Canis lupus familiaris: one gene and its partners. The protein of the gene in region 2 purifies or fractionates together with the protein of the main gene of each other region. This does not show direct contact. Links are inferred from orthologs where the notes say so. Each region holds a gene or a part of one and is shown on either strand. Other genes may lie near its edges.

The links.
Region 1: the proteins of ALK (region 2) and PLCG1 purify together in Homo sapiens (affinity purification with western blotting; 3 studies listed by BioGRID, with this or other methods). This does not show direct contact. The link is inferred for Canis lupus familiaris from reciprocal best matches to the Homo sapiens genes ALK and PLCG1.
Region 3: the proteins of ALK (region 2) and SHC1 purify together in Homo sapiens (affinity purification with mass spectrometry; 3 studies listed by BioGRID and IntAct, with this or other methods). This does not show direct contact. The link is inferred for Canis lupus familiaris from reciprocal best matches to the Homo sapiens genes ALK and SHC1.

The regions. Positions count from the first base shown.
Region 1 is NC_049245.1:29,776,546-29,786,999, reverse strand, and holds part of PLCG1 (1-phosphatidylinositol 4,5-bisphosphate phosphodiesterase gamma-1), read right to left. Parts: intron 10,356-10,454; coding exon 10,283-10,355; intron 10,185-10,282; coding exon 10,083-10,184; intron 9,850-10,082; coding exon 9,731-9,849; intron 9,646-9,730; coding exon 9,560-9,645; intron 9,483-9,559; coding exon 9,362-9,482; intron 8,949-9,361; coding exon 8,780-8,948; intron 8,645-8,779; coding exon 8,522-8,644; intron 8,440-8,521; coding exon 8,338-8,439; intron 8,259-8,337; coding exon 8,071-8,258; intron 7,842-8,070; coding exon 7,641-7,841; intron 7,568-7,640; coding exon 7,448-7,567; intron 7,359-7,447; coding exon 7,178-7,358; intron 6,246-7,177; coding exon 6,168-6,245; intron 5,405-6,167; coding exon 5,301-5,404; intron 5,096-5,300; coding exon 4,999-5,095; intron 4,792-4,998; coding exon 4,722-4,791; intron 4,193-4,721; coding exon 4,035-4,192; intron 2,745-4,034; coding exon 2,648-2,744; intron 2,500-2,647; coding exon 2,275-2,499; intron 2,196-2,274; coding exon 2,047-2,195; and 11 more. UniProt on the Homo sapiens protein: Mediates the production of the second messenger molecules diacylglycerol (DAG) and inositol 1,4,5-trisphosphate (IP3). Plays an important role in the regulation of intracellular signaling cascades.
Region 2 is NC_049238.1:23,037,777-23,047,969, forward strand, and holds the end of ALK (ALK tyrosine kinase receptor), read right to left. Parts: intron 8,928-10,193; exon of another isoform or gene 8,832-8,927; intron 8,831-8,831; exon of another isoform or gene 8,784-8,830; coding exon of another isoform or gene 8,723-8,783; intron 7,145-8,722; coding exon 7,010-7,144; intron 6,310-7,009; coding exon 6,219-6,309; intron 4,837-6,218; exon of another isoform or gene 4,548-4,836; coding exon of another isoform or gene 4,430-4,547; intron 3,703-4,429; coding exon 3,016-3,702; 3' UTR 815-3,015; downstream 1-814. UniProt on the Homo sapiens protein: Neuronal receptor tyrosine kinase that is essentially and transiently expressed in specific regions of the central and peripheral nervous systems and plays an important role in the genesis and differentiation of the nervous system.
Region 3 is NC_049228.1:42,486,521-42,496,270, reverse strand, and holds the start of SHC1 (SHC-transforming protein 1), read right to left. Parts: upstream 7,717-9,750; 5' UTR 6,059-7,716; coding exon 5,585-6,058; intron 4,991-5,584; coding exon 4,920-4,990; intron 4,360-4,919; coding exon 4,296-4,359; intron 4,138-4,295; coding exon 4,018-4,137; intron 3,775-4,017; coding exon 3,721-3,774; intron 3,549-3,720; coding exon 3,497-3,548; intron 3,334-3,496; coding exon 3,207-3,333; intron 2,445-3,206; coding exon 2,246-2,444; intron 2,159-2,245; coding exon 2,089-2,158; intron 2,007-2,088; coding exon 1,875-2,006; intron 1,717-1,874; coding exon 1,478-1,716; intron 1,168-1,477; coding exon 1,039-1,167; 3' UTR 1-1,038. Other genes in the region: CKS1B (cyclin-dependent kinases regulatory subunit 1), read left to right, coding at 9,434-9,492. UniProt on the Homo sapiens protein: Signaling adapter that couples activated growth factor receptors to signaling pathways. Participates in a signaling cascade initiated by activated KIT and KITLG/SCF.

The DNA of each region.
Region 1 (10,454 bases), on a different chromosome or scaffold from region 2:
ATATGTGTGCTTAATTAATTTGAGACACAGTACAGTTTTTGCCTTCACCCAGAGCTGCGGCAGGGAGGCCCCAAACAGTAATATATCTCATTCATGGCTTGGCTTTGTCTAGCAGTCACTGCTGGAATCCAGGTTCCAGGCCTCAGGGCCAGGAAGGCTGCCACGACAGGCCACTTCCCAAGAACCCAGCTCACGGCACTCCAGGAGGCACGCGGCACCTGCTGCTCTCAACGAGGCTGGCGCACAACTAGAGGCGGTTGTCTCCGTTGACCCGTGTCCTCCGTGGGGCCCTGGACAGAAGGAGGGAGTGTCCTCATCGGCAGTGGAGCCTCCAGTCCAGTGGGACAGCCCAAAGCCAGACAAGGGTAACTTCTACACAGAAGCAAGAGAAGGACCCAGAAGGGGCAGCAGGCGCTCCTTCCCATCACTCCAGTATGCCCCCCATCCTCTATCCCCTCACCTCCGTTCCCGACTGTCAAAATGGTCTGCCAGGTGCTCCTGGGAGATACGAAAGTCCTCAAATGGCTGCTGGTAGCGGGCCTCAAAGGAACCTTCACGGGCCCGGCCATGGAACAGCTGGCCTGAGGCATCAGAGCCTCGCTCCCGAAGAGACATCCCGAAGGGACTGAGGTCCCCATTCTCCTGCTTCAACAACAGCAGTGCACGAGGGGTCAGCACCTCCTGGGGCCTGGAGAGGCTCCCCGCCACCCACACCACCCTTACCTTGGCAGGGAACACGTCGATCTTGACGAGCAGGGAGGCCAGCTCTAGGTCCTCACTGTAGTTGTTCTTCAAAGGCACAGCTCTGTATCCTGGAAGGAGGAAAGCCTGGCCCTCAGCCCAGGAGGCAGCTGGGCAGGGGGAGCCCCCCACCTGCCCTGGCCCCCGGGCTAGAGCCCAGGCCCTGTCCCTAGGAAAGGCCTCACCTGTCTTCAGGCCTTTCACCGGGAATGTAGCCTGAGCCAGGAAGTTCTGGTCACTAAACATGTCTTCCTCATACACCACAAAGCGCAAAAAGGCGAATTCTGGGTTACTGATCTGGAAGTGGAAGGGCTTAGCAGGCCACACAGGGTTCAGTCCATTGTCCACTGTGAAAGTCAGGGTAAAAGGCCTCAGGCCACCGCCATGAGAGGACAGGCTCGCTGGCGTGGAGGGGCCTTCAGGGTGGGGTGAGTGGGGAAGGCAGACCTACCCACGAACTCTGTCTTCTGCTTGATGCTGTCGTACTCTGCTCCGGCCACTTCAATCTCCACGAAAGGACACACGATGCCTCGGCCATTCTTTGGCAGGTGCCGAGCCCCCAGCACCTGGAAGGCAGGCCAAGATGGGCCCGGGACTCCCCTTCCCGCTCCCTCCGGGTCCTCACCATGCAGTGGAGGCAGTGCGCCCTCTGCTGGGCCCCACAGAGGCGGCCTAATACGTGGCTCACTGAGAGCAGTGGCCTTGGAAACCTACCTCATTAAATCCATGTCTGTTTTAACATGGACATCTTTTAAACGATGTCCCCACAGGGAAAGAAAACAGAAATGTCTTCTCAGGGAAGGAGCACATGCTCACCCTGTGCTATCCTCAGCCCTCCTTCCAGATTGCTCAGCCCCCAGACCCTGAAGTCCACAGCACAGGCTGCCCGGCTGGTGCTCAGGGACTGTTCTAAAACAGAACTGGGGGCAGGCGTCATTGTCACTCAAGCCCAGTCCTCACTAGCCCCAGTGGGTGGCTGACCGCTAGCATTAGCTTCCTGTTCAGCCAGGCAGTGGCTACCCGTAGCTTGGCCTCACTGGACAGCCTGACTCTTTAGTGCTAAGAACTGGCCACATTTGGCCCACCTGCCTTGGGCCTTTGCCACTCTGGGCCTAGCCCCACGGAGGAGGCTGGCACCTGTCTTTCTGCCTCAGAGGATGGTCACTCCTTCCTTGAGCTCAGAAAACAGTCCACTGCCCACTCCCCAGTCACACTGACACCCCATCCTTGACTCAGGAAACGAGCCCCAGCAGAGCAACCCCAACCCACCCTGAAGCCCACCACAGCTCAGTGAGCACCACCCACCTCAATGCAGATGGCATATGGTTCCAGGCCTCGGAGGCTGCTCTTGTCAAAGGGATCAAAGGCCTCGTCCCGCATGGTGCTCGGCTGCAGCACGTAGCCGCAGTGGCCGCCGGCCATGAAGAGGGCCTGGTTCATCTGCATGGGCTTGTCTGGAAGAACCGGGTTACAGTGGACTCCAGCCCCACAGTCCAGCGGAGCCCCTCCCTGCCCCAGTGGGCAGTTCCTCACCTGGGGTCTGGAAGTTGAGGGCTACGAGCTGACTGCCACAGATCCACATGGGCAGGGGGTCATAATTGGAGGAGTCTAGCCGCTGGCCCTTGGGGTAGATGCGTGAGAGCTGCAGCCGGTTGTACTGGAGGAACTTCTTGCCTTTGGCCTTGTTCACATATTTCTCAGCCTTGGTTTCCGGAAAGGATGACATGTCCCGGTAGCAGGCACGTTCTGTGCCAATCTCTGGGCCAAACAGGGAGAATGCTTACAGAGCCCACCCACCCAGGCAGCTCCCCCAACCTCAACATAAGGAACGAAATGCTTCTCTTCCGCCTGCCAGGAGGCAGGGGGCGGGCACCCAAACCCACCCCGCCGAGGCCTCAGCCCTTACTGTCTTCATCGAAGGGAACCGGCCTGCAGTAGACAACCAGCTCGGAGAGCTCCAGGGCGATCTTCTTCCTGCGCTCCATCATCTTCCCCTCCGTGAGCTGGTGACACACACAGAGCCTGTAGCCCCAGGCTGGAGCCCCACCCACACTGCAGGTGCTCTCCAGGCCCTTCCCTGTCCCCTACATCTCCCAGACCCCACTGGCCTCTGTCCTCAAGTCCCACCCCAGAATCATCCTTCCTCTTCCTTGCCCTGAAGGCCACACTTGCCTCTAAGACTCTCAGAGGGTGGGATCCTCACCACCACCCATGCCTTAGCCACAGCTCAGGGCCCTGGGCTTGGCTACGCTCTCCAGTGATGCTTTGTGATCACTGGGTGTCCAGCCTCCCTCTTGTGACCTTGGTGGGGACGCAGGCCTCTGGCTCAGTCTTTGGTGTGCTCCGCCCACCTCCCAGGCCTAAGAACCTTACCACCTCCCCTCCCCCAACCCCAGTGCAGCCACCTATCCACCACAGCCACTCACAAGCTCGCCCCATCCTGTCCTCATGCCCCCAGAGGCCATCTCTCTTCCATCAGGGTCTCCTACACCCACACTCTTACTCCCTCCTCTTTCAGCCCAGTCCCCAGAGTCCATCTCCTAACCAGCAGGTCTGCCAGTATAATCCTCAGCACCTTCCATTTTGTATGGCTCCTGGGTGCCTGTTCTCCAGAAGAGCCACAGACCTGTAGCCCTCTACCCCCACCAACAGCCAGAGGAAACGGCCATCACATAGAATTCCCTCACCTCTTAGAGTGCTTTCCTCTCTCCATTCCCCAGGTTCAGTGGAAGAGTCCTCCCTCCACCCTCCTCCCAGCTGGCCCTGGAGGAGGCGCACTGTCCGTGCCATTCCTACACTCCCCGACACCCGCAGCCATGGTTCCTGGTAGTGGCACCAGGACTCTTAACTGCTGCCAAAACCAACGGGCACTTTCATGTTCTTACTGTGCCTGTCAGTACCTCCACTGCCCCTCGACACATCTGACCCCATCCACCCCCTCAGCCACTTCTAGCTTCTCTGGCCCACCTTCCCGGCTCCTCCTCCTGCTATCCACACCTCAACATTAAAGCCCTCTTCCCACTCCATACCACTCATCCCTCCTGAGCCTCCAGGTACCTGGTTCCTGCCTCCAGCCCAGGACTTCTCTGGCCCTGCGTTTATCCTGGTGCGTGTTAGACCCACAGGGGTGTCCTATGGCTATCTCAAACCCAGCCCTGAAGGAGCCACAGGACTGGCAATGTGTGTTTTCTGCGGATCCCAGCCTAGAGGTGGGCCTGGTGCCGCAGGCCTCGCCCCCAACAGGCTCACATGCTGCCAGCATGCGCCCCTGCGCCCCCACAGACGCCTCTCACCCTGGCGTCTGCCGTCTGGGCCACTTCTCGGATCTTCTTCACCCAGTCCTGCAGCTCTTCCTGTGAATCAGCAGCGACATCCAAGGACCAGTGTGCCACTGAAGCCATGCTGATGGAGAAGACGAAGAGCCGGTTGTTCTTGCCCTCAGGACGGATAGCTGGGAGAGCGAGAGAAGAGAGCTGGGAAGGTGTTTCTGTGTCCCCCACACCACAGCCCAGGTGCTGGCTCAGAGTCCCCTCACCACCCATCCTCCTCCCCACACATCTTGAGGGAAGCAAGGCTGCTGGGCTAGGCCCATTTTCCAGCTGAGGACACCACAGCTCAAAGAGAAGTCGCTGCCAGAAAAGGCGGGCCAGGGCTGTCTTGCCTGGGTCACGTGCCCTGCCCCACCCCATCTCCATGCCCAGCACACCCTGTGACCCCAGCTCTGAAGACTGCAGAGGTTAGCTAGCCCTCTGCATTACCCCCACAGTGCCCAGCACAGGGTGAGTGTGTAGGGCTCAAAGCCAGAGGTGAAGAGAGGAGTCTAGGGTGTCAAGTGGGAATCCAGGCACAGGGAATCCAGACTGCGAGAGCAGCCTCTGTGATGGGCAGGCATTGGCTTCTTCCCTCAGAACACCTAGAGAGCCACCAAGGAGAGCCTGACCATGAGGAACAGTGGGCTGGAAAATCAGATGGGGGCTCACCAATCTGACAGGCTGGCACATCCAAGACCCCACGGAGCAAATCCCCCAGGGGGCTGTTCTCATCCAAGTGCTGTGGAGAACAAAGTCCATGGGGCCATCAGCATGTCTGCTGTGTATGTGCGTGTGAGGGAGGGCTATGTGCAGGCAACACACACGTCTTACAAGCGGACACACGACGACATGAACGCACGGACCCCATAGCGGGGTGTGACTGGACTGTGCACGAGAAGAGTCTGGGGACGGGGACCCTGTTCCAGCAACATGGCTCTGTTCTCACCTCCCTCTCAGGCTCCAGGGCTGCAGGGCTGACCATCTCTTCTACGTAGTTTGACGGGAACCAGAGCTGCTTTTTCCCCCCGTAGTCCCCCCGCCACCTGTGGAAGCCATATGGTGCTGACCCCAGTAGCCATCCAGATTCCCAAGGGGTGGGAAACCCATCGTCAAGGCCCCACACCTACACCAGGCTGCAGCCAGCAGTGCTGACGCACATGCAGGGTGGACTACAACCATACGGTGGCAGAGGTGCACAGAGCCTGCCCCCCACGCACCGCAGGCCCTGGCTCCAAGGACCCGGCTTACCAGCCACCTTCTTGCTTCTCCACATTCTGGATGATGGCGCTCTTCGTGAATGTCAGCTCGTCATCCCTCTGAGCCTTGTAGTCAAAGAGGGCTTTGACGGCACACTGCAGGGGAGGGAAGCATTGGTCAGGGCAGGCGGTCCCTCCTTGCCACTCTCCTGACCTGGGGCGGCCCACCTTGCTATGATCCTTAATAATGGCCCTACAGGTGGCTCCAGGTCAGATGTGACTGAGGACAGGCCCAGGGCTTCTATCACAGAGACTCCATGGGGTCCAGACGAAACCCTGCAAGCCCCCCAGCCTGGGCCCTGGGGAGAACTTTGAATCTGCCCCCAGGAGTCAGGGCTGCAGGTACCCTTAGCGCCTCTCCTGGGACCTGAAAGCCTATAGGCATGGATGGGACACTATCATTCCTCATCTGGAATGTGGGAGAAAATAACCTTTTTCCCAGGTTCCCTGGCCACTGAGGGAAGGGAATGAGGAATAGGGCACAGCTTCTTTACCCCTTAGAGAAAAAAGCAAAAAGGTCTCTGGCAGACCTTCAGGAGGTGAGGGACTGAGAAGCAAAGAACAAAGTTTTCTGGCCAGTGTGGCCTGCCCCTGCCCTGCTGCCCTGTTGCCACCCATGGAGGAAGCGGGAGTTACCCTGGGGAACAACCTGGAAGGGTCACTGCGGACCCCCCAGGGACAAGTTCAGGGAGGGGGTCGGCCCCAGGAGAGCTGTGGTCGTACAGAAACCACATCTCTCACAACCTCTCAGGCCTCGGAAAACCACAAGCACCACTTCTCCACAACGACCACAGATGGGCCCCTGAGCAGAGAAATGCAAGCCCTAAGCATTCCTGGGTCCAAAGGCCTGAGGCTGTACCTTAAAAGTCGGCATAGGATTTGCCTCCACATAGAAGCCAGGGTTGCGTCCCTCATACAGGGCTCCATAGTCAGGCTCCTAGAAACAAGACCAAATGTGAGATGTTCACACCCAAAGAGGACAATGGCTGCCGCCTTGCCTGTGCCCCTTCAATCAGCATAACAGTCACCATGTGTCCCGCCTCACTAGGCCAGGTCCACCAGCATCTCGGACCTCAGTGGGCACGGCCTGCCTGGCCCTCTCCCCCTCCACGTTCTTACCCTTGAAACCCACCTTGTGATTCTGAAACCTCTCTGTTCCTGAAGGCCCAAACTGCTGCTGAGCTGTTTGCAGTGGAGTCTTGCAGGGGCCCCGCACTCAATGTTCTAGCTCAGTGGCTCATCTACTCCTCCCTGTGCACCCCGGTCCCACACACCAATCCACCAGCCGGGCCCCAGTATGTGTAGTTCTATCCCTGGACACCCATGCCTGCCAATGGCAAGTCTCAAGTGGACCTCCCCTCCTAGATGCCTTCCTTCTGTCCTTTGGTTCCAGCCCTGAGCCCTCCCCGCCCCCAAGATCATCTGTGCAGCCTTCCATCTCACTTGTCTTAACCCGGTGCCTCTCCCCTCTACAGCCACACTTCTTGTAGCCAGCTCTCCCCTGCGCTAGTGACAGTCAAGTTTACACCCAGCTGGGTAAGCCTCTGGCCTTGGGACTACCGTTCCCTGTGTGAGCTCCAGGACTTCCTTACCACACACCCAGCTTGCGGGGGCTTAGATGCCCACCTCTAATCTCTTCACCTAATGCATACCCATTCTTAGAGACATGTCCTCTTAGATGACATTCCCTCCAGGACACTGTCCTGGCACCTACACCATGGCCCCCAGCCCAGCAGAGTGACCTACCCTGGAGCTCCTCCAACTCCCTGGCTTCTGTGTCCCACACAGCCAGACTGTCCCATGACTACCCCCAGCAACTAGCCCAGGGCTGCACTGCCTGCCATGCCCCCTCAACCACTGGGCTCTCACAGCTGTGCCTATCTTCTCCAGCGCTTCCTCATTGATGGGATAGCGCAGCTTCATTTTGCGGTATAGCGGGTGCTTCTCATAGTAGCTGATGAGGTCCACGAGGCTGTCAAACTCAGAGTTGCCCAGCATCACAGTCTGGCCCTCCTGCTGGACGCGGCAATGTTTGATCTTGCCCTCGGCCCTTAACAGAACAGTCACACAGGGTCAGGGCATCCCAGACCAAGGCGTAGCCCCGCACCACCCAGAGCACCCCAAGGCCACACCCCTCACCGGAAAGAGATGGCATAGGAGTTGGGCTCATTCCGTTTCCTCACCAGGAAGGCCCCATCCCGGGGAACACGCATCAGCATGTGCTCGGCCTGAGCTCTGGTCAGGCTGGCGTGGTACCACCTGAGGACAGGCCCGAGTCAAGCCCTGGCCATCACTGCTCAGGTCCCCACCCAGCCCCCAGCCCCTCCCTCACTCTTTGCTCTCGTGGGCATTGGTCTGTGGGACCGGCTCTGAAAGGCGCATCTCAAATTCGTTGCAGCGCAGGGGCACTTGCTGGTAGTGCGTGATGAGGTCATAGAGCGAATCAAAGACCAGGTTGTCTGTCAAGAAGAACTTGGGGGCCCCAGCATCCTGCCGGGAATGGATCCGACAGTGCTGGACTTTCCCGTTCCTCCTGTGGGAAGATGGGGAGGCAGTGGGAGGCAGTGAGAAGCAGGCTTGGCCTGGAACATGGCGCTCCAGCCCCAGGGAGATGCCCAAGGGGCTTGGGTGCCAGGCAGCCCTGCGGGAGGGCTTCAGATCACCCAGAAAACTGTATGTGCGTGTGCATGCATGTTAGTAGATCACGTTCCATGTGAAAGCCTGCAACAGGAACCAACTACAGACTGTGGTAAGTGGGTTACCAGAAAGAGAGGGTATAGTCGCCCACGAAGGTCTCGCTCTCCCGCACGAGGAAGGAGCCATCAGGGGCCCCGGTCTCAATGCAATACTCGGTGAGCAGGCGCTCGGCAATGTGCCGTCCATCCCGTCCTGCTCCAAGCTTCCCGTGGAACCACTTCTCACTGGAGTGCAGCTCTGTGCTGCCACTGGCCTGTGAGGGGAGGGCAACAGCAAAGACACTCAGTGACTCTGACCCCAGCCCAACCCCCAGCCCTGGGCTGGCCCCTCACCTCCTTGGGTTCCTCCTCATCCTCATTGCCCTGGTCACTGCTGGTCTCCTCAGAGTAGTAGATCTTGCTGCTGGTCAGAACGAAGTAGTGGGGGTACCACTCCTGGGAGAGACCGAAGTGGGGCCCGTGAATGGAGGCCTCCTCCCACCGTGCCCCTCCAGCCTCAGCCAGGCCTGGCCCTCACATGGTTCACCGGGTCCTCCAGGTAGAGGATGCCATTCTTGATGGAGTTGCTGATATCGTTCTCGGAGTACATCACTGACGTAGGCACCTCTTCGTAGGCACTGCCCTCTGCCAGCTTCTTGTGCTATGGGGGCAGGCCAGGACATGACAGTGCCAGCCCAGTCCCAGAGTCTCCCCACCTCCTCACCAAGGCTGAGCCTGCCAGTTAGAGCCATGGCCTGGGCGAGGTGCTGGCAAGTGCTGGGCCTCCCACTGTTACCTTGATGAGGATCTTCCTCTTGAGCTGGTTGGGTGAGGGGAGCCCGTCAGCGGCGATGTCCACAGGCTTGGTGAGGAGTGTGTCCCCAAGCACCTTCTTGAAGTACTGCGCCATGTTTCTCTGCTGGGCGATGCTGCAGTGGTCCTCGATGGACAGGATGACCGGATACCTGCAGGGCAGTGGACCAGTGCAATGACAAACACCTTACAATTTCAAGGGGTCAATGCTCAGTCCAAATGGCCCCTCAGGAAAGGTGTTAGGAATCAAGATCCTGGAGGCCCTGTCTCTAGGGAAGCTGCCCAGAGAGGATGCTGGCCCTGGCCGCTGGATGGAAGTATTTTCTGAGGAGGGTAGGACTTCAGTTTGCTCCACAGACTAGAGAAGAACCCATAAAGGGGGCAGGCTGAGGATGTAGGAAACAGGGTGGGGCTTAGAAAGAAGGGCTCCAGAAAGCAGCAAGAAAGGAAGGGAGGCCAAGAAGGACAAAGATAAAAAGGGGAGTGGGGACAGGGCATTAGGGGGGCCCTCTCTCCCAGGAGAGAGCTGGAGCCAAACTGCCCCCTGCCCCTCCCCTCAACTCACTCTGAAGCCACGAAGGCATGCTCCTTGATGGTATGTAGAACATCTGAGAACTTGATCTTGGTGGTAAGGGTGTGCCCATGGTAAATGACTGGCATCCCATCTGGGCCATCCCAGCAGTCCACTGGGGAGGAACATGACCACAGTCAAGAGGGCAGGCCTCCTAACCTACCTACTCCCCCAGCCCCGGCCACCACGCACACTCAATGCAGCGACAGCCCATCCGCAGGCAGCGAGCATAGGCTTCCAGAGAGGACTCGCTGGAGAACTGGTCCCCAGTCAGGTACCTGGACAGGGAAGGAGAGGTAAGGGTGGTTGGGTGAGTGCCTCCTTCCCAGGGGTGGGCCGGGTGAGGCCGAGTGAGCCACTCACGTGTTGTGGGAGGAGGAGATCCAGTAGTGGGACAGAGGGTTGTTCATGGTGTCCGGGCACACTGCATCCAGCTGTGAATTCCACACGCTGTTCTCTTTGGAGAACAAGAAGGTGACAAACTGTCCAGGAAGAGGAAAGAAAGGAAAGACAGAGTGAACAAGCCCCTTACCAGCCCACTGGCATGGGCCACGGTGGGAAGGAGATGATGCTCATCAGTGTCTATCATGGTGGGCAAAGTGGACAGTAGGGAGGAACAAGGTGGAAGCCCTAAGGAGAATCTGGCTCCTGAGACCCAGGTGGGGTTCTGGTGAGTGCACCCCTACTCTGAGGGAAAGGTGAAAGTAGGGTTCACCTCGTCCAGGAAGAAGTAAGGCTCTTCAATTTCTCGTAAAGGATCTCGAAGGAAGCTGAGCATGAACTCCTGCACCTGAAGCCGATCAACAGCCCACAGCTCCTGGTGGGGATGGGTTGGGGAGGGGTACGTGAAAGGCTGTCAGTGATGAGCCCAGCCCCCCTTATCCAGGTACCATGGCCCTGTCTGACCAACCATACCCCCTGGTACTCGAGGAGGAACTGCTGAAACTCAGGAAGGGACACACGACAGAGCTCCGGGCGCTCCCCTGCCCTGTGGAAAAGAAGGGAAGTACCTGGCAGCCAGGTGGCTAGCACAGCCCACAGATGACGAGGGGCCCCATGGAAGGCAGAGTCCAGCTCCCACCCAGCA
Region 2 (10,193 bases):
TTTACATTCTTTTGGGCTGGAAAGGACTGGGTACTAGTAGGGTTTTTACTCCTGTTATGAAGTGAGTGACAGATGAAATCAAACATGGCACAAACGAGAGAAACCAGAGGCCCAGAGGGGTGGGTGCTAGAGCTCCCACTGAGCTTTGGTGGTTGAGAGGCAGGGATGTATAGGCACATTCTGACTTGAAATTCTCCTCATGCCCGGCCCAAATCACTTGGGAATTGAAGAGGTCTACGAGGGAGTGCTGGTGCTTACACACGGTTTGTAATCTCATTGTGGGATACTGAGGAAGAGAATCCATTCTCATTGGAGATGGACACATGGGTACAGGCAGGTCCAATACCCCAAGGAGAGCCAGGATTCACGACCTAACTGGTGGGAGAGAATCCAGTTTTTTGACCACTGAGTAGATCATACTCTTTTTTAAAAATTAGGTTTATTCCTGCTATTTTGATTTGCTATAATTTTGAGGTACACATATTAATAATTAATCAATTAAACTGATCATTCCCTTACAAACTGTTTCCCAGTGGTATGGGTGTGAGCTTTTGATGAGCTTATTTATGGACATGGAATATAAATACTCTAGCTTACAGTTTAATTAACATGGCTTCTATAAACTCTAATTGTGCCTGTGCTCTAGGTAGGACTCTTCTATCGTAGTTAATAAGGAAGGGCATCCACAGCATCTGTACAAATCGCTATAGCCATATGGGTTAGAGCAATACTGAGTGGACAGTAGTCCAGGTTAATTTCATGGTGATACCTGGGGCTTTCAGCAAGTTAAATGACACATCTTGAGGTCATCATATCTCAGTGTGGAGTTGTTTATTTACTTATCCATGTATACAGGCTTTTAAGACTTGACTATCATTTACATGAAGATTGATACCAGTGAAGACAATTAGAATCAGCAAATCAAACTCAGTGGTAGTAAGGCACAACCTGAAAAATGTAATGGATTTGTAGTTTTTAAGAAGAGAAAGGGATACGATTTTTTTTTCTTCCCCATTAAGGACCATAAAGAGTTGGCTATTTAACCATGTAGCATGCTCCCTGTTTAACTGGTTATTGGTGTTACAGATATAAAATGGAGAAATTGTTCTCAGTTCTTGTCAGCTCCTCCATCATTATCTTTTAGGAGAGTGTTTCTCAAAGTATCGTTCTTGGGCCCCTTTAGGTGGTTTATGAATTAATGTTTGTATCATTGGACTATTTACTTCTGTGCCTGGTATGAGCCAAAACTTTACTGATATGGTTATTTAGAGATGAGTTTGTTGATGTTTCAGCATCATCTGTAATCTGGTGAAACTATTTGGGCAGCTAAGATAAAGGAAAAGTGGTGTCCAGGGTAGGAGTGCTTCTACAAGATGTGCAGGACCACCGGCTAGGGCAAGGTATCCGCCACAGAAAGAATGGACACTTGGCTAGTATTGGCCTGGAACGGAATGGCTTTCCCACATCCACAGGGAGCCTTGTGATGTAGGTGAAAGTGAGGAGGTGGGGGAAAGGTGGAGATATATTTATAATATATACAGTCCTGTTGCTTGGGAATGCTTAGAGCCTAGCAAGTAAAGAAAAATGCTCTCCTCCCAAAGTGATGTTTTGGCATAGCCACCAGCAGGAAGGAAGCTGAGCAAAGGAATGGCAGGGAAGCAGAAAGAAAGAATGAAATGAAAATTCACTGATAAAGCATTATTGTGTAAGTACGGGGGTGTAAAACAACACATTTCCAGTTCGCTTTGATGGAAATAAATGTTATTTGTGAAAACCGGGTTCGGAGCCCCCACTATCACATGCCAGCATCCATCTCCACACTCCAGTGCCCGGCTCTTCCTCTGCCACCCAGAGGGAAAATTCTGTTTCCATCTCCATTTGGTAGCTATCTAAACAATGCTGTGTATATTTGAACAAATCATGACCCCATGTACACTGGGATCGCATGCTGCAGGAGGGCCGAAGGCAGGGGAACACTAGAAGGGCGGACACTGTCCCTCTCAGGACCGCTGAGGGCCTGTTGTTCCAGTGACCCGCCTGCCGCTGCCGGTGGAAATGTCTGTGTGGTTCACCTTCATGATGGAAACTGTTGGAAGATTTTGGCCTGGGATGTATTGACACTTAGGCCCATGAAGGGACAAGTTTCTACACTTCGATCTATCACTGCTGCTGAACATTTTTGCTTTTAAATGATCAGAGTTGATTTTAATTAGTGGAAGGTGTTAAATGAAGTAAGAATTCAAATCTTGCATTTTCAATCCAGTAGGAAACCTCGCACTCACTCCCCCTTGGTAGGAGGGTTTTCTTAAGGCATGAGGTATATTGACAGGATGTTCGAATCTCTGGATCTGTACGCACTGTGTCTTTATCATACTCAAAGTACGCCGAGTATCTGCTTTTCGTTCAGATTAGTGTATTCACATTTTCTCTATGGTACCATAACTATTCATCACATTTTTACAATCATCAGTGAATCGACACAATCGAAAGCGTCCCGACATCATCTAAAGGGCCATCTCAGCTTAGTCGTCTATGATTTTTTTCCTTTCCCAGTAAAGAGAGTCTTTTCCCCATGCCAGCTCGTTCCAAGTAGCTCCTTTATATCTGTTCCCTGCCCCCTTCAAGTGGTCCGGGTCCACGCCAGCAGGGTCAGGAAACACCTATGACTCCCGACCGGGAGACACATGAGCAGCTGGTGCTGCCGCACCGAAGCCGAGCAGACACGATCTGAGAGAAGCGGGAGGAAGTGGACATCAACCATGCATAAAAACCTTATGCAACCGAACTGGGGCCTTGTAGTCATCACTCGTCTTGATGATATTTTCTTCTTTTGAAACAGTAAGATGAACCCATGCTCAAAACCTTGTTTTCTAAAGCATTTTGAAAATACAGCTGTTTATGTGGCACTTCAAGACAAGTTGGCACAAAATGAAAAGTGACATTTGGTCTCTGGTTGTGGAGGAGCGATGACCTGTCCCTCCTCCGTGGGCTCGGGGCTCCCGAGTGCCAGGGGGCTCAGGGCCCAGGTGGGGTTTTCAGGAGGGCGTCCTCGTACTGGCTGCTTCCGGGCGCGGTGGTGCCCTCGAAGGGTAAGCCCTGTTGCTGGTAGCCGTAGTTGACGTTGCCACACGGGAAGTGACGCAGCCTGAACAGAGGCACTTCCTTCATGCTGGCAGTCAGCGAGGATGGTTCTAGGAGCAGAGAGGCACCTGGGAGTCTGCCAGCTGCCACGTTAGGTGGGACAGTACAGCTTCCCTCACGCCCCAGGTTCCCCCTGTCGTGGTGCCCCTTCGTTGCTGGAGGATTGTTCTTTTTGGTGGGTTTCTCTGTAAACCATGAGCCGTAAGTTGGGTTCCATAGGCTGGTGGGTTTGTTTCTGGATCCCTGGACTTTGTGCAGCTCTGACGCTGGGTTGGACTGAGAGAATGCCATGTTCACGTGTCCTCCTTCCACAGCTGGTCCCCTAGTGACTCGACCAGAGAGCTCCGCAGCCGTGGGCTTCTTGGCAGCTTTGCCAGAGGAAGTGGAAGGCAGGGGAGGCGGGGCAGCTGGATCTGGCCCTTCCTCCCGTTTAGCTTGTGGAGGAGAGACGAGTAGAGGAGGAATTCCCTCAGGGTCTTGGGGCCTCATGGGCACCTTCTCCTCCTCTTCCATGAGTGGGCCATACTCTACGGGCAAAGCAGTGTTGATCACATCTGGGTCCTACAGGCAGGAGAAACAAACGGATTACGATGTTGAATCACAGACCAAAACTGCTGGATCTGGAAGCTGATACCTTACTGATGGTCTCATCCAAACTGATTTTACACGTGAGGAGACCATTCAGTGTTGATTGGGGATATTTTAATTCAGAGGCACCAGGGAATAGGAGATGAATAGGAAATCATCCTTTTATCGGGCCCTGGAGGAGGCGCTATCAGAGGAAATCAAGAAGGCTCAGAGGACCAGCTGCCCCTGAGAAGAAATGCCGGTGGTGTCCTCCCTGGCGGGGGGTGCTGCCCGCCTCTCCTGCTCAGGCTGCCACAGCTGGTGGACCCTGGCCTCTCCCCATCTCCTGGGAGCTGGGGTGGCCTCCAATAAAAAACTGCTGGGTTAAAAAAAACAAAAAAAGGACGTGGAGGGGAAGCACTCGTCTAGAGGTGCCAGGTGCTGGGATGCAGCCAACCAACTGCCTGGCTTGGGTGTGTGGGATCAGGGAAGACTTTGCAGGGAACCACCTTTGGGAAAATCTGACAGATTCATGGATTTAAAAAGATTATAAATCAGTTAAAAAAAACTTATCCCAGTCTGTTCCCAATAAACTCCCTGCCACTGAAAAGAAAAATCTGGGTGTTTGACTTCAGGTCGGCGTGTGTGTACACATGAGGGACGAGGGGAGGGGAGGAGAGACACACTGTTGGCTCACAAGGTTTCTCTCTTCTCTTCCTAGCTACCTTCCATTTTCATATTTGGATGGGCTACACTTGATTATCATGTTTGCTGTGTTACATCATCGTATCGTTCTGTGTGCAGAAAACACAGTGGTTCTTTATCTGGTCTGGACCTGACCAGGCCCTTTGTGAAGCCCAGGAAGTCCTGCAGTGCTATGAGGAAAACCACTTACAAAAACAACTTTGTGCTAGATCATTCTTAAAGCAATGGATATATAGAAAAGCAGAAGCAGTTGCCAGAGATATGAAGAAAATCTGTGGAAGGAAACTCAAGCTTGGGGGAATTTAATTCTTTAATATTTTATGCAAAATGGGAAAACCATTGCGTCGGTGTAGCAGAAGAGCACTTTGGTCCAGTATTCATCAGTAAAGAGTATAAGAATAAAAATACCTTCTGCTTCTCTTATTCTTTAGTTCCTTCCCTGTTAATTATTAATCTCTATGGAGACTCATTAGAAATATGCTTGTACAGAATTACCTGCTTTTAAGAGGGACGTTATCCACTTGGGAGAAAAATGACTCCAAAGTATATGTATTTAAGTGGGTATATTCTATTAGAATTACAACATAACAACCTAAGATGCCATTCACTGAAGAGCAAGTTTTCTGAAAGAACCCTACATAACTTGATAAATGAAGTCCATCTAGATAAAGGCCCATCTCCGCACTTCTGAGCTGAAGTTGCTGGAAGAGCAGGGCGGGAGTGCTAGGAATGAATGATGTGGCTTGAACACGTATTTGGCTTCAGTCACAACCAGGATGGGGCGATTTGGGGAGGTAGTGGTGCCTGGCCCGACTTCTGAAATACTCTCTGGAGTTAGATATCCTGGCAGAATGAGAGCCAAGGGAGGGAGAGAGGCTGATGTGTGGAGAGGAGATCCTGCCTGCGGAGGGAGGGAGGGAGGGTCCCCGGGGAAGCTGGTGGTGCAGGTGCAGGGGCTCCTCTGAGGGAGGGGACGGCCCCCTCCACTGACTGGTGGGGAAGATGGTGAGAACGGACGTCCATGCATAGACAAGAGGGTAATGAATTCTCAGGCTCTCCTCTCTTGAAGTAGGAGGCAGGGTCTGCTAAAATGGTGTAGAAAGGGAGAATTTCGAGTTATTTCTGAAGGAAATGGGAGAAGGATCTGCATAGGGACCAGTGGTACTGCTAGGAAACCGTGAGGCTTGGAAAACCTCTCTAAGCCTCAACTCATCTGGAAAAGGGGGATAGTTTATGTATCTCCCTGAGGACAAAATGAAATAGATGAAAAGTGATCTGTATATTTAGATGCTGTACTAATGCTATTGATAATGTTAAAATTTCTCCAGCTTACTTTGTTCCTCCCTTGAATCCCTCTAATATTTATCATTGAACCTCCCATTTAACAATTATATACGATTAATTATTTCACATTAAAAAAAAAATTATTTCACATTATTATCTCTCTAGCCACACCATAAGCTATTTGAGAGCACATGTTTCCCATATTTCTCTGAAGCTCCAGTTTTGTCTAAAAAACCATTACCTACCCAGGAGGCATTTAGTTTAAGCCTTGTGATTTGAACTGATTCCCTAATGGTATTGGGTGTTCTGCAGCTGTGTCATGTTGTTGGCAAAGGAAGAGGTAATAATTAGCATTTATTTACAAAATGGGCAAACCGAGGGACCAGTTGTCTTACTATAGATAAGCAATCATCCTCGTGATTATAACTCACATTTTCTGGCTGGCTTAACTTTCATTTCACAGTTTGGTATTTGCCATCTTTTCCATATAAATGCTGGTTCAAGGGGGAAAATGTTTATACCTGGGTACAGTATTCAATCCTCTCCAAAATAATGGCAAAGTTGGGCCTATCTTCAGGCTGATGTTGCCAGCACTGGGTCATTATCCGGTACCTAAAAGAAGAGTAAATACGCTAATTAAAACTAGGAGAACAGGGATGCATACATTTTTCCCAGCATTTTTCTAAGGGGGACCAGAGGAGGCAGTCTTTGAGTGACAACTTATCTAGGTCCCATGTGGTTGGCATCTGCTGCCCTCTGCTGATGGGCCAAGGAATCGTGCCCAGGTGTAAAGGTACTAGAACACCAAAGCTCATTAACAGACATCCTGCTGTTAACGTGAAATCTGGCTCCTCTCCTTCCATTTCTGAATTAAAGTCACCTCTGGGGAAGAATATTCTAATTATATTTCCCTTCTGCCTTGCTTGTGCGAAGGAGGTGAGTGATGCCAGGCAGGACAGCAGAAAATGCAGGGAATGGGAATATTTAAAGGAGACTTAAGACAGATGGTGTTGGGCAGCAGGGGTGGAGTCTGGGACACAGATTCCTAGGAGGTGTTGAGGAGTGGGAGCCTGGTGAGTCCACAGTCTCCAGCCAGACAGTAGATAACTTTACAGACGTGACATTACTGCTTTCGAGGACTTGGAAGACTGACCCGCCTCACAGAAGTCACAGACACACCCCTATCCTGGGGTGTATTAAAAGAGGTCAACCCCTCCATCTTAAAACAAAAAATGCATATGTGGCTGCAGTATTTTTTGAAAAGGAAAACTGTCCCTATCAACTTGTAGAAATGTTCCTAAAAGGGTCATACACAGGCCCAGGACAGTTCTTAGGTGGGTCCATCCGTCCTCCGCTGGTGACGAACTCCAGAACTTCCTGGTTGCTTTTGCTAGGGTATGGCATGTATCCAAGAGAAAATATTTCCCACAGCAGCACTCCAAAGGACCTGCGCACAGGACAGAAGATATCATATGGGTACACGTATACACAAGTAGGCACGCACACAGATATATAGTCCTACAGGGACACACATACACACAGATGTAAAATTTAAATTCTATTACATATCTTTCCACAATTGAGAATTCTTAATATGGAGAAAAAAAAAAAAACAAAAAAGAATGAGAAAGTAGCCACATGTGATGCTCCATAAAAAGATAACCCTTGTTAGCATGTTATTTTTTTGTTCCAGTCAAGTTTCTATACTTCGATTTCTTTTACATAATTGCAGTTATATTTCAAAAGCAATTTTGAACCTTGACTGTTTTTGCAATTTCCATTATAGCATAAGCATTTTCTGTGCTCATAGAAACATCTGAAATGGCTATAAAACATTTCATTGAGTAGTTGTGCCACAATTTGCCTTATCATTTCCATATTGTCTTCAATTTTAAAATTATTTAAAAACTGTAATGAATATCTTTCAAATCTGTGATGTGTTTTTTAAAAGGACAATTTCCTTAGGACAAATTCTTCAAATTTAGGATTAGGATAATCTAGATAATCTAGGATAATTCTAATTGAATTACTAGATCAAAAGAATGTAAACACCGAAAAATTCTTGGCACATCATGTCCACTTCCACACTCCAAACATGTCAAGCAGCCAGCATTGTGCATCAGACACTCTCATCAACATTGACTATTCTAAAAAATAAGAACTTTTATAGATTTTAAAGTAAAAAATGGTAGAATCTTTTAAATTATGTTTATTGACTTGATAAATAACACGGTTGAGTGTTTCTCAAGTACTTATTAATTCACTTCCTTTTTTTCTCTATCAATTGTGTATCTTTTGCCCATTTGTATCTACATATTGTTTGGGTATTTATCAAGTTTCTTTTTGATTTTTAGACATACTTTATTAGAGATGTTAACCTTTATCCAAAATTGAAATACTTCTATCAATTGCTTTCTAATTCTACCAAGTAGTCAAATCTATTTTTTAAAAAATTTTGTGATTTCCTCCCATCTGTTTTATAGATTATGCAATCCTCCCTTCACCAAAGATTAGATGAGTGTTTGCTGTTTTCTTCTAAGTTGTATTTGTTCCTCCTCTCCAGCTGGATCTGAGAACTTAGTTTGGTGTATGGTGTGAAGTAAGGGTTCTAAACTGAATTGTTTTGCAGTCACTCTTCTAATACTATTCATAGAATGCTTTTCCCCTTACTATTGACTTGTGAGTAAAAACAGGTTTCCGGGCTCTCTATTCACTTCCATCTGCTTCTTGCATTGACACCATTCTGTGTTATATTTTGTGTGTTTATGTTTTAATATCTGGTAGGCACTTTTTTTGATATTTCTCTTTTTAAAGAAATATAGTTGAATTCTCATTTATTATTTGTTTTAAATGAGCTTTAAAATGATGCTATCATGTTTCAGAATCGCCTTTCATATTCTGACAAATTTTTATTTTAAACCTTTAATTTCGTTATTAGCTTTTTTAGCAAAAAAAATGCCTACTTTTGTTTTTGTCTTTGGTTGTAGTGTTTGAATGTTAATAAATATTCTATCAAAAACTGTAGGGAACTACACCTCCTCCATCTCCGAAGGAACAAAAAGTACATCAGCTCAGCAAAATTTTAAAGTCTCTTGTGAGGAGCATCGAGCAAAGATATTTTCCATATTTTTCAGGTGAGAAGGCTGAAGCAGAGGTTATTATACAATTAATCTGAGACAGACTGGAATACATTATTAGATCTCTCAGCTCTGCTACCTACAAATTGCCTGGTACATATATAATTATTTTTCTCTGTTTGGTGGTTTGTCTTCCTCCGAGGCAAAACAAAATGAGCAAAATCATGCAAAAGCCTGGCAGCAAGGCCTCAAGAGTTCCAGCTGTTTTCTGCCTGTCTACATAGCTAGAGAAATAGATTGTAGTATCCTTTGAGAGAACCAGCATGGAGATGGCAAATAGATGTTTATTTTCTTGGTTTGGAGTTCAAAGGAGCAAGAAGTAGTGTTGGTCGTAGAGCTTTGATAATTTCAGGTAAGGAGAGTTGTCAGATTTAGTGAATAACCATACAGGACATCTAGTTAAATTTGTTCCAGAGAAACAAGAAAAACTTTTATTAATTTTTATTTTTTTAAGAAAAACTTTTAGAATATAAGTACATCGCAAATATTGCATGGGATGTACTTGTACTAAAAAATTATGCACTGTTCATCTGAAATTCAATTTTAACTGGTAAACTTTTATTTTATCTAGCAACCCTACAGATCAAGTAAATCTATATTTTGTGTGCCAGATGGTTCTTTAATCACCTATAAGCCTGTCTTAGAAGGAGCAATAGGGCCCACCGCTTTGCACTAAAGCATTCAAAGTCAAATAAAAACAAGTATTAAAGAAAATCCCACTTTCCTCCTCTTGGCATTAAACTTGCTCTGCCTGAGATTATAGAAACAGGTTAAGTGCTTGCTGATTAAATTATTTTAAAAAATGTGAATCGATGAAGATAATCTGATGAAAACGTTTTAAAATCATGAATTGTGCTGTGCTTAGCAGTCTTTTAAAGTTACATTTTATTTTCCCTTGTTCATAACCTGGAAGATTGTCTTGAGATGTAGTAGAGGGTAGAACACAGATTTTGGAAAAAGGGGACCCAGAGCTGTATGGTTTCCGGTTATGGAATGAGTGAGTCAGGGGGATGAAAGCAGAGGGAGTAGAGTCAACAGTACTGTTGTACTAACGCTGTACAGCAACCGATGGTAGCCATGCTTGTGGTTAGCGCAGCATAGCATGCAGACTTGTCCAACCACTGTGCTGTACATTAGGTGTCGACTATACTTCAAGAAACGAAAAAAAGATTACAATGTTGTATTCAAATACCCAGCCAGCTGATCCCACTGTCTCTTGTAGTTCTCCTGGGAGCTTCAGACTCACAGATCAGAAGCCCACTCAGCATCTCCACTGGCCTGTCTTACAGGCATCTCACACTGGACTTGTTTAAGAGCTCCTTCCACACCCAGCTCATCTCCTCCGTTCTCTCTAGTGGC
Region 3 (9,750 bases), on a different chromosome or scaffold from region 2:
AATATATGCATATAAAATAAAAATAAATGCAGTCCCAAATGTACGATGGTATTTGGGGATTGTCTACTGCTTTAGTCTCAATGCCCCTATTCCTGCCTCCACAAATTCACCTGGCACAGTTACCAGTTCAGGAAGCCAGAGTCCAGTTGCCCGCCCCCCACACCCACCCCAGCAGGAGGAGGCAGGGGTAGAGGCTGCAGGACCAAGGACTATGCTTTGGCTGTAGAGCATAACATGCAGGCAATATGGGAGGGGTGAGGGGGGGTGATGGGTCGACATACGAAATGTATATACAGACCCCTTGGGTGAGGGGCCCCTCTGGCCAGGAGGCACTGAGCAAGGGAGGGGTCCATCTCCCCGCTGGCCAGGAAGGAGGGACTCTGAGGCAATCTCTAAGGGTTGCCTATCCCCCGGAGAGGGGACAGCTGCCATTCCTGCCTCTGGTCTCCCAACTTAAAGCAGAGCGGTTGCTGAGCAATGAGAGGACAGGGTTCCAGAAGCCAAGAAAGTGTCAGCACTCCCACCCTCCACTTCAGGGGCTCAAGAATTCTTTGCATAAAATGTCTTCAGACCTAGAAGATGGTCAAAGGCACAAAGTTTAACCACTGGGAGGGAGAGTTGTTGAGAGGGGTCTGGGATACCCTGAGCCCAGGAATAGACCAAAGGTGTGATTCAGTCCCCTTCCCTGGGAAGGTGATTGCCCCATTAGGCCTTTCTCACTTCAAGGAGGCACACTGCCTAGGCCTCAAGCACCCACCTTCTTGGGGAAGGGGGTATCAGATTGGCACAGGAAGGGCCCAGGGAAGGGGGCCACTCTGTACATTAATACTTTGGTAAGGTTTGGGGAGAAACAAAATTCTACCCCAGGCTTCTGACAAAACCTCTCATTCAGCTGGATGCTGAACCATGTCCACACTATCCCCAGCTCCAACACAACAAGGCCAAGCCCACAGAACACCCTCAAATGAGGTCCTGAGACTCAAGGAATAGAGTGGAAGTGGTGGAAGGACCCCTTCGGGGAGAAAGCACTGAGATGGATCACAGCTTCCGCTCCACAGGCTGTTGGAGACAGAGTTCACTGCCCGCAGAGATGATAGGCAAGTGATTGTCCACGTGGTAGCTGATGAGGTGGCTGACACTCTCAAAGCGGTGATCCTTTGTTCGAACCTGAGGAGTGGGAAGGGAGGGGGTCAATTCAGGTGAAGGGCATTGCCACCTCTCCAGGATGGTTTCCTCCTTTATCAAAAGAGGGGCTCAGGCAAAATGAACACCCAGCTCAAATGCACTTCAGGGCTGGGCATTTGAGGACTGAAAGGAACAGAGCTCAGGTTCAGGAGTCTGAGAAGGGAAGAATGCCTGCATCTACCTGCCAAGCAGGAAAAGCAGTAAGCAGGGAGGAAAGACGCATAGCTGCATGGAGCATGCTGCACCCTCCTTTCTGCCACGCCCTCCCCCCCCCAACTCCTGATACACTCACCACACCCTCCGGGTCCACCAGCAGCAGGTGCTTGGGCTGCCCACTCTGCAAGCCAGTGAGCACGTACTGGCCGGGTGTGGTCGTGCTCTCCCGCACCAGGAAGTCCCCATTGAGCTGCAGCAGGGCCTCGGCCTCCCGCCGGCTCAGCTTCCCATGGAACCAGGGCTCCCCTCGGAGCTGCTCAGCCATGGCCACCGCCTGGGGAGGTGGAGGCACCCGAAGCGCATCTTCGAAGGGCTCTGGGGGTTCAGAGAGAGGCCTGAGAGGCAACTGGCACAACACACACCCAGACCCAAACTTTCAGGGAGGGGAGGCCGGGAAGGAAAGAGCAGGACACAAGGGGAGGAACCCAGGGAGTAGGAAGACAGAGATGCAGAGTGGAGAGAGAAGCACTCACTCATATCAAAGAGATCTCGGGGCACGCTGCCATTGATGGCAGGATTGGGGGGCCCAGCCCCACCCCCTGCTTGCCGGGCCCTGTCTAGGTTCTGGACATTGACGTAGGATGGATCATCAAAGAGCTCTTTACCTGATAAGGAAACAGAGGCATCACCGTGACCCCAGCCCTGCCTCCACACCCCTGACTCTGCCCTTCCCAGCTCCCTTCACACCTGGGCAGGGTGGTGGAGGTGGCATCTGTTTGCGAATTTCTGGGTCTCCCCCAACAGGCTGCCCCACAGGCTGCAGAAACAAAAATGAAATGAGACCAGAAGCCCAAATTGGCCACTCCCATCCCAGGCCCAGCCCACCTCCATCCAAATAACTTACCAGCGTTGCTCCCAGGTGGCTGGGGGTCTGGACAACGTGTGGGGTGGGCCGAACAGCCCCCAGGGGGGCTGCTTCCCGAAGCCTCATGTCCACCACTCCCCCAAGAGGGGGCTCCTTCCCCGGGAAGTCATTATAGTACTGGTGGTCAGGTGGCTCTTCCTCCTCCTCATCCCAAGCTGAGCCGTCAAAACCAGCCATCCTGAGAGGGACAGGAGGGAACAAGGGGGCACAGACAGTGGCCATGGACTGGGTACTTCCTGCAGGGTGGGCCTGAGTCTGGGCGTTTCCTACACACAGGCATTCTATCCCCCTGGCAGCCCTGCAAGGTATCTATACCCCCTTCTCCAGTGATACAGGTGAGATGAGGAGCAGAGGTGGAGACGTTTGCTTATTGTTTCACAATTAAACGGTGGCAGACCTGAATGGTAACATCAGATTTGATTTAAAGTTCATGTTCTCAGTTATTATGCTATCTCCCAAGAGGAAGGGGAAGCACACAGTAGAAAGAAGGGATGCACTCCAGAATATTTTAACCTCCTCTAAATACTCAGTAGCTACTGATCTAAGGTGGGAAAGAAAGGTCGAGATCTCAGGAAAAAAGACACCCTCCCTCACCCAAATTCCTGATGGCTCTATGGGCAAGAAAGTGAAAAAATAAGGACGGAGAAATGGTCAAGAAAGAGAGACAGGCCAGCAGTGAGGTGGCTGAGGACAGAAGGGCAGAGCAGCAGCACGGTGGCCTGGCATACGAGAGGAAGAGCGGGCCTGCAGAAGCAGGCAGGACCTGGCCAGACTTTCCTGACGGCCACAGGAAACGTAAGAATAGCAGGAAGTGGGAAACAGGCACACAGGTTATTTCCCCCTGACCCTCTCTGAGCTCAAGCGTGGGCAGTGGAGCAGACCTGCTTTCTCAGTTCCAGCTAGTGCCTAGGAGCTGCCCATACCCTGCGCACCCGCTCACCTGTCATGAGGGGTGACCAGCTTGGGCGGGTTCCTGAGGTATTGTTTGAAGCGCAACTCGAAGGCCTGGCCGATGGTGCTGATGACATCCTGAGCAAGCCCTTCGGGACATTCCAGGATATGACAGGCTGGGGGCACAGTAAAGGCAGTCAGTGAGTTCTGGTGGACTGCTGGGAGGAGGCGCGGTCAGGGGCCTCATCTTCCCAGCCGAAGCCCTACTTAGCTACCCAGGTCCTGCTCACCTGCCTCACGGACAGCCGGCCCCACCCAGCGCTCCCCACCACGCCTCACCTCTCTGATTCACCGGGTCTTTGGCAACATAGGCGACGTACTCAGCTGTGTCCTGGGGTGGGCAGGGTCAGAAGAAGCCACTTAGCTCCAGTTTCCAGCCCACCTCATTCCTGACCCCTACACATCCTGGTCCTTTCCAGACACCACTTGGACCCCAGCACACCCTCTTTCCAGACAGCATGGCCCCTACTCCTCCCCCACCTCCACCCTGTTCCCCAACTCACCGGGTCCCCACCGGACGCAAAGGAGATAGACTGCATGTGGTGGTTGGCGATGATCTGAGGGTTAGGGCAGGGTACAGAGAAGGAAGGGAATAACACAGGTCAGGCAGCCTTGGGGCCTTCCTGGGCACCCCCAGCCCGGGCCCGGAGCCCTGGAGTGTCAGTCCCACCCTTTTGGCTTCTTAGCCCAGGTCCTCCTATGCTCCTCCTTCCTTCCTGTCTTAGCTCCTGGCCCTGTGGCCAGGTCCCCGCTCCGCTCTCCCAGCAGTGTTTCTGGCCCCCTTGCCCAACCCCACCAACCTGTTTGCAGTCTGCGGCCATAAGGTTGAGGCTGCTGGTGGAGACGGTGAGAGTGATTGGCATTCCCGCAAATTTCAGATTACTCCTCCCCAGGATGGCACTGAGTGGGCGGCTACAGGGCTAGGGAAGGGCCCAGAGTCTCAGAAGTTGGGGGCTCCCCACACCACGAATCCCCCTCCCTCCGCCTTTTGGCCTTCCCCCCACAGGTCCCAGACTTATCTTCCCCCTGCTCCTCCACATTTCCCAGCAGTGCCCCCAGCCCCATCAGCCCCAGGTACCTTTCTCCTTCTTGTAGCCCCCTTGGCACCGGGCACAGCCTCACACACCAGACTGATGGCCTCCCTGGAGAGAAAGGGGTCCTCAGACCCACAGCCTGCCTCCCACTCAGCTGGGGCTGCCACAGGGCAGGGGGAGGGGAAGACCAGGCCAGACTTCAGGGGCACTCCAGGCTCTTTGTCATGGTGGATTGAATTAAAGGCCTTTAATATTTGATGACACGGAGAGGCCACTTCCTGGCTGATTGGGTTAGGGCCTCTGTGAGTCTGGCCCCACCTACTTCCAGCGACCAAATGTCCCATTCCATCCCAAAGGCAGCAGCAATCTTCCATCCACCCCATTTTATACTCAGGCTCCAGCTGCCAGCTGCCTCTGCCACCTCTCCCACCATACACAGGACTGGATAAATAAGAAGGTCCCAGACCAGAGAGGTGCTGCTTTTCATTCAGACTTAGACTGATTCCCCTAACTTTCTCTCAATCCTTTATCCCTGAAGGTAAGCCATCACTAGCAAGTGACCAAGACCCACTCCCTCCTATACTCACTGATCCAGGAGCCCACTCCCCTATGTACCCCCTCTCCCCTCATTAATTCAGGAATCCCCAGTCTGCCCCCTCCCCACTAACCTGGTGACTTGGGTGCGGGTGTTGAAGTCCAAGGCACGCATTGACTGCAGGACCTCCACACAGCCCATGTACTGAAAGGAGGAAAGGAAGGTAACGAGTCAGCACCCCCTCCACAAAAAGAGTCCCAGGCCTTTCCCCTGAGTGCTTCCTACACTTGATCTTAGCCAAAAGGCTGACTCTGAAGAGTGAAGACCAAGTTTTGCCCACAGCCTGCGGCTACACCCACAATGTGCCAGACCACAGGAAATGAGGGGCGGAGGATCGAGCAAGCCAGGAGGGCCTGGACATCTGGGAAGAGGATCTCGAGGACAGTGATGGGCACTGGGGTGGGGGGTGGGGAAGGTGACATCCCCAGAGGGAGGAGGCTGGAGGATACAATCAGGACCGCTCATTCCCACACTTACTAAGGGTGGCAACGTGCTGGGCTTTGTGCTAAGCATGGCAGGGTGGGGGAGTCACCAGAAGTAAGGGGCCCAGGCAGAGCTGGATGGGAGGGGCCGCAGAATAAGAAAGGGGAAGAGAGAGGTGTGAGAAGCGATCCTGAAACCAAGGGAGGTACCGGCAAGAGCAGAAAACGAGAGGCTCCCAGCTCGGCAAAGCTGGAGTGAGCAGAGGAAGGAGTCTGGGAGGGAGCAGGGAGGACCGAATGGGAGACATTCACTCACCCGAACCAAGTAGGAAACCCCAGGTCCCATGACTTTGTCGTTGGGATGTAGCCAGCCCCGTGTGGGCTTATTGACGAAGCTCCCGTGGCGGGTCCACTCCTCGCCCCCCAGCTGGCCCCCTTCCACCCGCGTCCTGCGCCCGCCTCCTCCACTCAGCTTGTTCATGTCCTGGAGGAGGGGCAGGGGGGCTGAGTCCAGCACGGCGGCCCCTCCAGTCCCCTCCCCATCCTTAGAGGCCCTTCCTGGCTCCCCAGCTGGGTTAGCCAGCTTCAGGTTGCTCATCCGGGGGAAGAAGGAGCACAGGGTAGTGGGACTCTCATCCCCAGGCAGAGGTGGCAGGATGGGCCCCAGGGAGGAGGCCGATGGGGAAGGTAGTTCCTCCGGTGGGGTGGACCCTGAAGCCCCTTCCTCCAGCGATGACAGAGACTCATTCCGAAGTGGATTGTACTTGGGCTTGGGGGGCAGGAGATCCATGGCTGCAGTGAGAGGGAGGCTGCTGCCCAGCCTGGCCCCCCTGCCAGTCAGGGCAAGGGGGCCAGGCAAGGGGCATCCCCAGGCCTTTAGTCTGCTCGGATTCTATGGCCCAGGGATCTCAAGGATCCTGGGGAGGGAGAGTGACAAGTGGCACCAGCGGCCCCAGGCTCAGACCCAGATAGTTTCAGGCCCCATCCCCCGCCCAGCGTGGAGCCTCTTCCCAGGCGGAGAAGAGAACAGGCTGGACCAGAAGCAGCCTGGCTCCTCCCCAGGGGCGGGGAGGGAAGGCCAGAGACCAATCCCGAGGACAGTGCTGACTCACAGGCTCCAAGGGGCTAAGCCCCCACAGCAGCCCCAGCCTAGAACTCTGGCAGGGATAAAGCTCTCGGTGCCCCCACCCTGCCCCGAGACAAACCACCAGTAATCTGGGGAGGAGTAAAGTGGAGTGGGAAGGAAGGATGTGGGAAAGAGAAGGAAAGGAGGGAAATAAGAAGAGGTCTGGATCCATCCACACAGGACATGGGCAGGCCACAGGGAGCAGGAAGCTGCGGGAGGGTAGGGGGACCGGGACAGGAAACAGAGGGAGCTGGGAGTGGAAAGGAGGGGACCCCTGAGCTCAGCACTTCTGTTCCTGTCCTGCTGGAATGCCCCCCCTCCTCCAGCCCTATCACACCGTGGGGTGGTGGCTCTGGGGAGCCTGGGCCATTAGCGCCCTCTGCTACCACAGCTGGGAACAGGTGGTGAAGGGAAGAGGAAAGCATCCAAGTGGTCCCAGTGGACGCAGGGAAGGCCCAAGAGGAAGCACGAAGCTGGAGAAGTAACGGGAACAAAGTCCAACCTGGGTGGTGCACCAGGGAACCTTCAGGCAGGAACTGGAGCCTGGGACGGGCTGATGGAGTCCTGCCCTCCATGGCTGGCACCTACCATGCCAGGGGCAGCAGCCCACAGCCAAGCACTCTTCTGTACCCCATCCCACAGGTCTAGTTAGCAAAGCAGGCTGTCACGGGCAATTCGGTGACAGGGTACTGACACAGGGGTCGGCTTCCTGGGTCACATAGGTGACAGGGCACTGACACAAGGGTTGGCTTCCTGGTCCTGCCAGGCATGTTCATACTCCTTCTCTTAAGTGGAGAAGGTTAGGTGTGCCCAGGGAGCACAGTGCACCCAACACCAGGGGTAGAGTCTCACTGGAGGAGGTGGGAGAGTACAACAGTTCTCCAAGAGAAGTGGGGAGAGGAAAGGACAGGCCATGAAAGCACAGAGGGAGAGGAAGACAAATCTGAGCCGGGGTGCCAGGGACGGGCTGGGGCCCATCCCTTCTGCACAGCTTCCAGCTCCACTAGAGGGGACCTTGAAGGAAGAGGCAAAGTCACCAAAAAAGCACTAGAGATAAATACAACCTCTATGCTCACCTTGGAATTACCTATTCTTAAACTGCAGAAGATACAAAGATGCAAACTAGTAGCTAATAATACTAACACTCAAATCGTGTTAGATACTGTGCTCAACTCTCTCCCCTGGCCTTTAGCTCTCTGGCCTAAAGGGATGGAGGAAAGGCTTCTACCCTGGCCTCTGCAGCCCCTGCACACAGGCCAGGACGTCCTCCCCTGCCGGCGTCTGCACAATCCAGAAGCGAGGACCCGCCCACAGGTGTGGGCCTTAGGAAGGAAAGAAGGAGGAAGTCGGGCTCTTTAAATTTGCATAGGAAAGGAGATGGCCTACAGGGAGTCAGTGTGGCTGGGTGTGTGGGGAGGAGCTGCTCCAGGCTTCTCAGCCCAGCGGGGAGGAGGAGGCAAGTAGCAGGAAATGGCGAAAGCCTCAGGAATGTTTCCAGAAGGGAAGGCTGGGCAAGCGGGACCAGGAGGAATGCCCAGACAAGAGCTCTGCTTGGGGGGGAGGGGAAGAGCCCAAGAAGCGGCGGGGGCTGGGGAGTCCCTTCCAAAAAACTAAACAAACAAAAAAACTCAAACAGCAAAAAGGCCACTGTCCCCTCCACCCACGCCAGGCCACCGTTTCCAGGCAGCAGGACACTCTAGCTCCTGGTGCACCCGCAGGTTGCACGCCAACCTCACGGCCCTACCAGCTCCCGAGGTGCGGGTGCTAGCCCTACAGCTGTCTCTGGGGCGGAGTCTGTCCTGGGCTGGGAACCCAGGAGCAAGTCTCTCGGCCCCTTTGGCGCCAAACCCCAAGTCCAGGCCCCTCTCCGCGGGGCAGGGGGAGGGGCAAGGGAGGCGGAGGGCGGCCCCTGACCTCGCCCGGCTCGCCCCACCTGCTGGAGCAGAAGCACTGGCTCCGCAGAGCTGAGCCCCAAGCCCAAGGAGAAGAGAAGCTGTGTCAGCAAGGGGCTTCGGGACTACCACAGCGCTCCGAGGGGCGGAGCCCGCCCCACTCTGGACGCTGCCCAGGGGGAATGGGCCCCACATCACGGGTACCGGGCACTGTAAGAGGCGAGGCTACAGCACCGCCCGACGCCATCAGGCGGGGGGCGGGGCCTCTCGGAAGGCGTAGCCTCTGGGGCGGGGCTGCCGGCACTCGGCCGGGCCTCGGAGGGGCGGGGCTCTGGCCTCCTGGGGGACCCGTCGCCAGAAGGCGAAGAATCGGAACTCAGAGAACTACCGTCAGGTTTCTCACAGTCGGACTTGGAAGCATGTTCGGGGGTGGGACTTCCAGGAAAGCTGGGCAGCAGGGTGGGGTCGTGGACAATACACAGAAAACAAGTCGGGGTTCGGGGAGCCCCCTGAAGATGGGGGTGGGACTTCCGGGGAGGGGGGTCTCAGGGGGCGGGACTTGCACATGAAGACCGGAAGTAGGGTCCCGGGAGAGGGGTTCCGGGGTGGAGGAATGGGTCACCTTAGGAGAGGGAGAAGACCTAACTCACCAGGGCCTCATGGAGTCTCCGCACCGCACCGCGGCTCGATTTGGTTCCGGATCACGCCACTGCCTCCTTAGGTCGCCGTTCCAACTTTCTCCCCGGCCTGGCCTCCCTGAAGAAACTTTATTGCACTCACTTCCGGCCTCACTAACCCCTGACCCTCTACCTCAGCGTCCCTCCTTCAGCCGTCCCACTTTGCCGAATCAGCCAATGGCAATGCGAGAACGCGCACGGGGGCAGGAATAGCCAATTAGAGGCATATTTTTTCCCTACGCTCATTCTTGACTAACGTAAGCAGCGCGGTCCAATAAGGACTCGAACAGAAGCAAATCTAAACCAATCGGCGGCTTGAAGGTGGAGTAGTCCCGCCTTAAACCATGGGGTCCAATAGGAAGCGCGGGCGGCGTGTTTGAAAGCTAGGCCAAAGTGGGTGGGAGCGCGTGCTGCTGGGAGTTGTTTGGAGGTTGCCGGAGTGGGCCTGACGGTCCTCAGGCTGAGTGATCATGTCGCACAAACAGATTTACTATTCGGACAAATACGACGACGAGGAGTTCGAGTACCGGTTAGTGCCGCCGCGGGGGCCATAACGAGGTCGTGAACTTTGACAAGTGAGGGCAAGAGGAGTTAGTCACCGGGGCTGAAGCAACAGGACCGGCGCATGCGCGGGGGACTCCCGGGGCGCGGGCGCGGAGCGTAGCAGGGCGCCTGCGCGAGGGCCTGGCGGCGAGAGGGCGCGGACAGCTGCGGACCGCAGTGTGTCCCGCGCCGGGGAGCGGGCGGAGGGGGCGTGCCTAGAGCTCGAGGCCTCCGCACCCCGCAC